Linked DNA regions of Caenorhabditis elegans. The protein of the gene in region 2 purifies or fractionates together with the protein of the main gene of each other region. This does not show direct contact. Each region holds a gene or a part of one and is shown on either strand. Other genes may lie near its edges.

The links.
Region 1: the proteins of mma-1 (region 2) and rpb-8 fractionate together in Caenorhabditis elegans (co-fractionation; one large-scale study listed by BioGRID). This does not show direct contact.

The regions. Positions count from the first base shown.
Region 1 is NC_003281.10:4,916,743-4,920,254, reverse strand, and holds rpb-8 (putative DNA-directed RNA polymerases I, II, and III subunit RPABC3), read left to right. Parts: upstream 1-2,246; 5' UTR 2,247-2,249; coding exon 2,250-2,356; intron 2,357-2,413; coding exon 2,414-2,540; intron 2,541-2,676; coding exon 2,677-2,889; 3' UTR 2,890-3,012; downstream 3,013-3,512. Other genes in the region: ula-1 (NEDD8-activating enzyme E1 regulatory subunit), read left to right, coding at 1-53, 101-437, 490-579, 624-733, 785-969, 1,016-1,591, 1,638-1,856; rars-1 (putative arginine--tRNA ligase, cytoplasmic), read left to right, coding at 3,148-3,198, 3,245-3,510. UniProt on the Caenorhabditis elegans protein: DNA-dependent RNA polymerase catalyzes the transcription of DNA into RNA using the four ribonucleoside triphosphates as substrates.
Region 2 is NC_003283.11:12,591,958-12,598,172, forward strand, and holds mma-1 (Leucine-rich PPR motif-containing protein, mitochondrial), read right to left. Parts: upstream 4,340-6,215; coding exon 4,268-4,339; intron 4,223-4,267; coding exon 4,026-4,222; intron 3,977-4,025; coding exon 3,098-3,976; intron 3,052-3,097; coding exon 2,636-3,051; intron 2,584-2,635; coding exon 1,509-2,583; intron 1,399-1,508; coding exon 1,004-1,398; intron 947-1,003; coding exon 804-946; 3' UTR 611-803; downstream 1-610. Other genes in the region: C14C10.2 (ERAP1_C domain-containing protein), read right to left, coding at 1-92, 140-273, 322-401, 451-504; ril-2 (RNAi-Induced Longevity), read right to left, coding at 4,592-4,864, 5,105-5,221, 5,267-5,873, 5,932-6,215.

The DNA.
Region 1 (3,512 bases), on a different chromosome or scaffold from region 2:
ACAAGCATCAATTGGTTCAACAAGTGCATGTGTTCTTGGAAGCGATTCGCTAGGTATTTTTGAAAAAATTGAATTAAAAATCCAATCTAAATATTTTTAGCAACAGAAATATTGAAATCGTTGGTTCTCGCCGGTGTTCAATCATTCTATGTCGTTGATGACGCCAAAGTTGAACAAGCTGACATCGGTCAGAATTTCTTCCTCCATGCAGATGATATTGGACGTTCTCGTGCCGAGGCAACATTGGAGAAGCTTACCGAACTGAATCCATCAGTCTCTGGTAGTGCAAGTAGTCAGCCACCAACAGCGTTAGCTATGGAAGATGTGGAAAAGCTGACAACGTTTTCTGTGGTTGTTGCTGCAAATCAAAATGAAGAAATTGATACGACGTTCGCGAAAGTTTTGTATAATATTAGAGTTCCATTCATCTGTATCAAGTACGATATTTTCAAAATTTGAAGTTCTTGCAGTTAAAATTCCAAAATTCAGAACTTTTGGACTAATTGGTACCATTCGAATCTGCATCAAAGAACACACAATTGCTAACTCACACGAAGAGAATCCGAGACCTGATTTACGGTAAAATATACATGAAAACTTCCAAAAAAGTTTTTATTTCTCAGATTGGATGCTCCATTTTCAAAGCTTATTGAAATGATCAATGAAACAAATCTAGATGAAATGACTCTAGAACAACTCCGCCATACTCCGTATATTCTTCTTCACTTCAAAGGTTTTTCTCGCAATTATGGTTGTATTCTGTTATTTACCTTCTTAATTTCAGCTCTCGAAGTATTCAGAAAGCAACGAAATGATCCTGAAGCGTTCCCATCTACAACTGCGGAACGTAAAGAACTTCAGGCGATTCTTATGAGTTTCCGACGTTCGAGTGAAGAATCCGGAACCAAGGATTCTGAGAATTTTGATGAGGCGAAAGCGGCGGTTATTCGAGCTTTTCAAAGAACTACGGTAAGTTTTTGATAAATTATCCAAATTGATTCTCATTTCTAGTAAGTTTCAGATTGGTTCTTCTGTAAAATCGATTCTCTCTTCTCCACAATGTTCAACATCGACACGCCCATTCTGGTTAATCTGTGAAGCTCTTCGTCGTTTTGTCACCGAGAATAATAATCTTCTGCCTCTTCGTGGAACTCTTCCTGATATGACTTCTGATTCTTCTCGATACACTCGCCTCGCAACTCTTTTCCACGAAAAAGCTCTTTCAGATGCTCAGGAAGTGCTTCGTTTGACACGTGAAGTAGAGAAGGAACGAGGTGTTGGTGACGTCATATCGGATGACGTTTGCTATCGTTTCTGTAAGAACGCTGATCGGATTCGAGTTCAGTATGGCGATGTGCTTGACTACAACGAAGAAACCAAAGCAATTGTTGAGAAAATTCGTGAAAGCAATATTGATGAAGAGACTAGAAATCAGAAAGTTGATGAAGCCACGTGGATGCTACTGATGAGGGCAGTTGGAAGGTTCCAAAAAGAAAAAGGACGTTACCCAGGAACTAATGGAGTTCCAGTTTCAATTGATGCTCAAGATTTGAAGAAGAGAGTTGAAGTTTTGATTCGAGAAGCTTTGAAGGTTTATTACATTCGTTAGTGAAATTAAAACTATTAACAAATTTTAGGATGAACAGGACTTCACATCAATCTCAAATAAAGTGACAGACACTGCTATCGCTGAAATTTGTCGTTTTGGTGCTGCGGAGTTACATGTCATTTCATCGTACGTCGGTGGAATAGCTGCTCAAGAGATTATCAAATTGGCTACCAATCAATATGTTCCCATTGATAACACATTCATTTTTGATGGACATACTCAGGAGTCGGCAACATTCAAATTTTAGTTTAATTTATTGGTTATTTCGCGAATTTGGTTTTGAAACTGTTCCTTGTGGCATGACATTTGTAAATGAGCCTTATTATCAGCAAAGATTTAAAATTTACAAAATAAAACTTTGATTCAAGATTGACATACTGAATATATTCATGAACATATTCATGGACATTGGAACATTGCAATTCGCTCATCTCCCATTTTTAGATATCCCCGGAAACCCCAATTTGAATGCCCGCGCAAAAAAGAGAGAATCGTTGCGAAACCCGCGCGCGTAAATGTTTGCACCTTTAAGTTTTTTGTTTCGGTTTTCCATTTCTTCGAGTTTCTTTCCTCAATTTTTTCTTGTTTACCAACTGCTTATTGCTGTTTCTTATGATAAAAACTTTCTTTATTTTAGAAAATGGCTGGAATTATTTTCGACGATATGTTCAAAGTGAAAAGCGTGGATCCAGACGGCAAAAAATTCGACAGAGTTTCTCGATACTTCTGCGATGCTGAGTCTTTCAAGTGAGATTATTTTAACATTAACTTTTTTACTGACTATGAGAATTGAAAATTTTTTAGAATGGAGCTTATCATTGATATCAACTCGCAGATCTATCCACTGAAGCAGAACGACAAAGTTCGTCTTGTTCTGGCCACTACACTCCGAGAAGACGGACTTGCCGATGAAGGAGAATATGATCCAAAAGTGAGTTTTTATCTTTTTACATTTTTTAAATATATGTTTGCACTACCTGTCTCGTTTTGACTTGGATAACTGATTAGATAACTGAAATTGAAAACTACATTTCACTTATTGTGTAACTCAATCGTTTCCCTTTCAGGCAGAATACCCAAGAATCAAACAGTATGAATATGTGATGTACGGAAAAGTTTACCGCTTGGAAGACGATGATACTGGAACTGACGGCGGAAAGCTCGCTGCTTATGCTTCGTTTGGCGGTCTACTGATGCGTTTGAAGGGCGAGGCTATCAATTTGCATGGTTTCGAGGTCGACATGAATCTGTACCTTCTCATGAAGAAGACTGACTTCTAATCCGCGACTGAAAGTTATTGATTATTTCATTTGTTGATCCGTTTTCTATTTGTTCTACTGTTTTTTATCTCTTTCCAATCTTCACTCAATTTGATCTTATTCTGATTTGTCAGACCGAATTTTCTTTTACATGAAATTTACATTGTTACAATTAAAGTAATTGACTATTTTGTAATTTTCAGTGCAGCAAGCCTGTTAAATATCTTCTTTGATATTCTCAAATTTATTTCCAGCAGTGTGCTTTTCAGGGTTTACAAAATGTCAGCCAATAAAGAGCTGCAACAAGGATACTCTGACTACTCAGCAGCGGTGAGTTTTAATTCACAAGATGTGGAAGTTTTTTTTATCATTTCAGTCCGACCAAGCTGCGCTTCTGAATCGTCTCATAACTGCCATGCAAAAGGGAGAGCTTACTGACGAACTTTTGGAACATATTCCGGAACTCGGCGATGCCAAGAAATTGAACGATAAGCTCAAATACCGGAAGTCGATTCTCGAGAAGAGCATTGCCGAACAGGCAGCCAAGAACAAGAAAAATGGTGTGAAAGCAACATCAACTAGTTCTCCATCTTCTTCTACCTCTGCTCCAGCCGAGAAGAAGGCCAAAAAAGACGGCAAAACGT
Region 2 (6,215 bases):
AAATTGAAAAGCAGAATTTCCTGTTTTGTCTTTATTTAGAACTCGTTGGATTGCTGCACAGATTTGATCGTCACTAACATCCACGTTTCGAGCTAAAAACAATTCCCATTAGTTTTTGAAATTTGAAGCTCAAAATCACCTTGACGTCTTGCGGAACCACCGTACTCCTCCATTTGTTGTTTTAAAAAAAGTTCAGCTTGTTCTGATCTCTGATGAGACATTGCGATACTGCTCATCCTGACAACTCCCCAATCAGGTGTGTCACGAGTTTCTCTGTAATGAGCAGTAACCCGAAACGTTTCATTTAAATTTCAAACTAACCGAAAAATTCTGTAATCCTCTGCTCCTTTTTCAAATTCTGTCAAACTACATCTAATGATATTTTGAATGCTCGTAATTGTCTGTAATATAATTTTTCATGAAATTCTATGGTTTTGCAAGCTATCCAACATTTTTTCGCTCCGCAGCACTTTCAAACGATTGTTTCGCAATCCTTGCCACCATTACAGTACGAAACATTCTGAACACATGTTGTTTTCGAGTCATTTCTTTTTAAAAAGTATGTCACACCCAAGCTCAAGGATCTGAAGTCGTTCAAATTCACAGATTTCACTTTTAATTTATTGAAAATGATAATTAATTTGAAGAACAACAATTTGAAAAAAAAACAAGAATCATAAAGAAAAAAACAATTTGAATCTACCACTAATCCTACTAAAAAAATTCTAAAAAACCGAAATTTTCTTCTGAATAATTTCAAATGCTGCCCGTTTTCAAATTTTTCTAGACGACGGCGAAAGTCTTCAGTCGAACTGGTCTGATGGTGAAGATGAGTGTTTGTCTTTAATATCGTCAAAGAATGTGCGAAGTTTGTTCTGAAGAGGGAATGATGTTGTCTCGATTTCATTCGAGAGCTCTTGCAGTGATTCAATATCGTTGATGTTCCCTGAAAAATTTAGAATTGATTGAACTTTTCCGTAAGCAATCAAATGTTTGAACTTACATAATTTTCTTGTTGCCAGTTCTAATAAGTTATTGAGATCCAATGTAGATGCACGTCCGTTGAAAACAATGAACATATCTTTCAATAATCTTGGATTCTCCGAAGCAGACGCCAATGTGGTAAAGTATTGAAGAACACGGCTTTCGATGTTTAAATTCTGACGTTCAATAAGACTCCGGGCGCGTTGCATGTTGTTGGAATGAATAAGTGCGTAAGCAAGATTCACATTGGCCATATCAGAACTGTGAGCAGATCTAACCATTGTGTGCACACTTTCCAATGTTTGACGGTCGTTTCGTTTGATTGCTTCAATCATAATAGGAACTTGCCCAAAAGCACGATTACTAGCATTTGTTTCTTCGACAGCCATACGAAGAGCTCCTGGCAAGTCGTTTCTGAAAACAAGTAGAATACATATTTAAGAAAACTCAGAATTTCAATTATTTTCTGTTTCATTTTCGAGACAATTAAGAAATTATTTATAAAGGGTATACACTTATCTCACCTTTCAATCAGTTGATTTAATTGATCCGTCTTCGCCTGCAACACCACTCTACGTGCATCATTTTCGCGTAAATTGAAACTCTTCTTGAGGTATCCAGCCAATTCATTCATTTTTCCAGACTCGACTCCCTTCAACCGCCGTCCCATTTTCTCCAAAGTTTGAGGTCGGATAATTTGAGAACTGTTCCTCAATTCTTCGCATACTTCATCTGCACGTTCAACCTGTCCATTAACAAAAAGACGTGAAGCATATGAAAGTAGAACATCGGCTGTCGGATGACCTGATCTCATCTGCCAAATTCGATCAGCAAGAACCATATTGTTCTCAGAAACTGCTTTTGATAGTGTCTTCGACTCAAGATTCTTGCACAACGTTTTCAGATATCCTGGGCAATTATCCTTTTTCCATTCTATCGAATGTTCCAGCACATTCACCAAAAAGTCTAGATCATCATTTTGTTCGGTGAGAGCTTTTTGAAGAATAACTCGTTTCAATGATAATACAACTACCTCCTTGACATCGTTTGAGAAATTAGAGAGTTCTTTTAGTAACTCATTAACGTCGGTGGCTCTCCATCTTTGCATTGTTGCACTTTTACGAAGCTTTCCTAGCAGTTCCGCTTTTTCTGGTGACGATTTGAGTACATTCCTAGCATCGGTGAGTTCTTCATTATTCAATTGCACTCGTGGATCATCTTCTAATAACTGAACAATTTTCGCTGCCATATCCAGAGTGATCATTTCATTAGATAAGAATTTTGCGAGATTTCGTCCTCCGAACTTCAAAGAAGTTCTAGCGGCCTCTGGTGGGAAATCTAGCGCAAGGATTCTAGCAACCAACTTCAGACGATTTTCTTTGTCGGCCATCAGGAATCTGGTAAGAAGTCCATGAAGACGGAAAACTGTAAGTTGGCCAAGTTTGTTAGATTCGAGAAGAACACGAAGCTTTTCAATTGCTAAATGATCTTCTTTGTCAGAGTGTAGTAATTGATGAACAATTGCGGTTCCAAATTCTCGTTTCTCGTGCCAGACGGTGTTTGTCATCAGATCAAGGGCTGGTAAAACCAATTTAACGTCTAAAATAAATATTTAATTTATATATTTAAAATTGCAACTATTTTCACTCACCTTTACTAACAATTTTATACATAATCTGGAAAACCCCATGAGAATCTTCCGGCGTTTCTCTTGTTGATGGAGCAAACATAACAGATGCAACTTTTGCAATCAACGCAGCTTTTTCGGATGGTGATGCGGTTTTGATCAAATGTTGAGCTAGTTGGCGTCCAATTGATCGTTTCAGGTTAGGATTCTGTCCGAAAATGTTACGGATATCTCCTGCTTGTTGAACATGATCGAAAACGTCTACGAATAAGGGAACTTGATTCTTAGCACAAACTGTGATGAGGAATTCGTTTGCTGAAGTGATAAGCCCTTTATTTTCAGCTAGCGTTACAACTTTCAGATAATTTTGAAGATCATGGGATGTTGTTATACTTTTGAGTTCTTCCTCCAGTTGACGATTTAGTTTTTGAACAAAGAATCTGAAAATAATGAGTAAAATAAGCTCCTAACTTCTACAAAACTTACTCATTGGAATATGATGGATGAATGCATGAATAAAGAGCAATTGCTTCTTCGAGACTCCCTTCACTGAGAAGACTTTTTGCGCGAGCAACAACAGGTAAATTCAATTTATTGTCTCCAAGAGTAGATCCTGATTCGGCGACGATCAAATAAGACGAAAGAAGATTAAAAGCATCAAATTGTCCATTTTCAATTAGATCCATGAAAACATTGAGTACGTATGCATTATTTTCGAGGGAATGAAGCTTTGCAGTTGTAGGAATAGCTCTTATCATTTCGGTAACTTCAAAACCACCTCTTCCTTGCTCGTTTTTTTCGCGTTCTGCGATAGCTCTTGCTGCAGCGCATCGTAGACGGACAACATTCATTGAAGTAGAGAATGTATCAACAACTCGACCAACATGTTCATAGTTTCCTCCTCTGGCGACTGAATAGACAAGTTGGGCGACGTGATCTTCTGTCAATGGAATTCCACTGGACTTCATGTGAGAGATGATGTCTGTGATAGCTTTTGTGTTTGCTTGTTTCGCATAAACTTCGCATAAAAGAGCATAGGATTTTCCATCGAGTTCGATACCAGATTCTTCAAATTTTCCAAGCTCTTCAACTGCATCCACACGACTGCGATTATCAACTTTTGCTTCGATCAACTGATTTCGAGATAAGAGACCCAACACAACTCCTTTTTCTCGTAGAATTGATTCAACTTTCTCCAAATTTTGAGCACGAAGTGAACGGGACAATGTGTCACAAGTTGAGCCGAAGATCGATAAAAGAACTGCCAATTGACGATCAGAAAGAGTGGAGAGATCAGCGGCACGCTCGAGTAATCCGATAATTTTGGATACGGTCTGCGGGAAAACAGTGCCGCGCCATTCAATGCTGCAAAAAATGTTAGCATTTTCGAATAGAGCCTAGTTTTGAAACTAACTATTCAACTGCTTCATGAAGTGTTTCCAACTTATTGCTCTCCAAACCCTCCTGATACTTCTTCTGAAGCTTTATTTGCTCTGCAGATGTTGTGGTGATAAATGGTTTGCCAGTTTTGTTCATAAAGTTTTTACGCCCATCATTTGACTGTTCTTGTTGTTGTTTAAGTGGTGGTGGTGTCGCTGTGTTTTTTGTAGTCTGTAATTTAATATTTGGATTACAATATTAATTGAGAATAATCACTTGAGCAGCAGCAGAAGATAGTCCACGTCTCCTTGCAAGTGACCGCAGGCCGTTTCTACTTAACCCGAGCATCTGTGAAATAAGTTTTTAAAATCAATCATCAAATTAACAGACAAAATATCATATGTGAATGGATACACAAGATCAAAAACTGTTCAATTATATTTTAGAAAATCGGTTTCATTCGAATTCTCCGGGTACGGTAATTACACAAAAATCAATGAAGGCACAGAAAAAACAGGTATAACAAGAGTAGGAGTGAAACGATAACAAAAAAATGAGAAAAAAAACTAGAAATCTAATATTTATACTACCTAGACATATCTATTTTTGGAAAGAAGATAGTTTCTTTTGAGCTCTTTGATCAACTTCGACTCGATTTGTTTGGCACCACGCGAAAAGACGTTCTAACGATTCTTTCGAGTCAGAGCACTGAATCCAAGCACTTTGAATTGCCTTGCATAGTTCATGCAACTGTTCTTCATCAACTCGGTGGATCTTCTTTTTTATGTTCTTCTCCACAAACTTTTTAGTTTTCTGACCACCAATGCCGTAGAATTTGTCAAGGACACCATGGACTGCTTCATCAAGACATTTCTGAAAATAGAAAATAAAATGAATAAAATATCAGTCAAATCTTGAACAGAATGCTACACAGATAGCGGACCGCTTGACTCTGACATTTTTATCTCGCAGTCAAAGATTAGGCACAAGCGCATGGGAAAATCGCTTGCGCCACTGAACGACTGCTTTTAAACGCCACTGTGGAAGTTGAGCGTAGGTCAATAAATTGCTAGCTGAGGACACAACCACTCGGCCATCGAATCGATCGCTCACCACGCTCACAATAACGCTTTTGTTGACTGCTGACCGGCCGCCGCCGCCTCTTCGTTTTTCGGCAATCATTCCTCTTTCTACGAGCATAGCTAGTCGTTCGATGCATTCCAAATCGTTCTATAAAAATCGAGTATTATTAAAAACATTAAATTTTACTTTTACCTGTTCGACAAACGAGGCAAGTTGTTGCTTGAAATGTTTTCCTGATACGGAAACCTTTTGGAAAACTTCTAACGCTTCATCAATTCTAGCCAGTTTTAGTAAAGTACAAATCATTCGAGCCATAGTTGCAAATGGATGTTCACCTTTCCCTGAATGCAATAAAAGCGCCTCTATGCGTTTGTCTAATCCTTTTGCATCTGATTTCAGAGCTGCCATCCAGTAATCATCAATTCCTTGTTGAGTTCCGTACTTATTTGACAACAATTTCCAATCTCCGAAACTTTTGAGAAAATTGTCACTTGATGCTCGGGTCTCACCATAACATTTCATGAAAATGTCGGACGTTCGGTCGAGGTTGAGTTTAGAGCACAGAGAAAATAGAGACAACGCTTTTTCGGGGCTTTTCTGAATTGCAAACGCGTAGAGCTCGGAAAGTCGAGTTTTGACAAGCATTCGATTCGGACGAAGTTCCCGCTTATGTGCCCACTGAGACGAGGTTTCCAGATTATTCATGATTGAAGAGACTTCACATTCTGGGGTGATGCTTCGGAGAGTGAAATGAATAATTATATCTTCTGGAATCTCCGCGAGAACATGTGATCCACAGCTGAAAAATAAATTGAATGGATTACTATTTTACTTTAAAAAAAAAAGAAAGCACTTACAAGTTTCGAATAATTATTTCAGATTCTTCAGAGCAGAGGTTTTCAACAATGAATCTTAAAACATCATTGATCCTTACAATATCCTGGCGATTTCCAGTGAACATCCATTCAGGCCACGTTTGCAAAGATTTCAATAATTTATGAAGTTCATCTACTGCCCCATCAGCGATCAAATCTTCGAGATGTTCTAAAGAAAATTCAGTAGCTGTGTCGACGAAAGAAGTTTCAGTTGATGAAATTTGGCTGGAGATCGATGGTAATTCGCCTTCTTTCCATTGACTGGT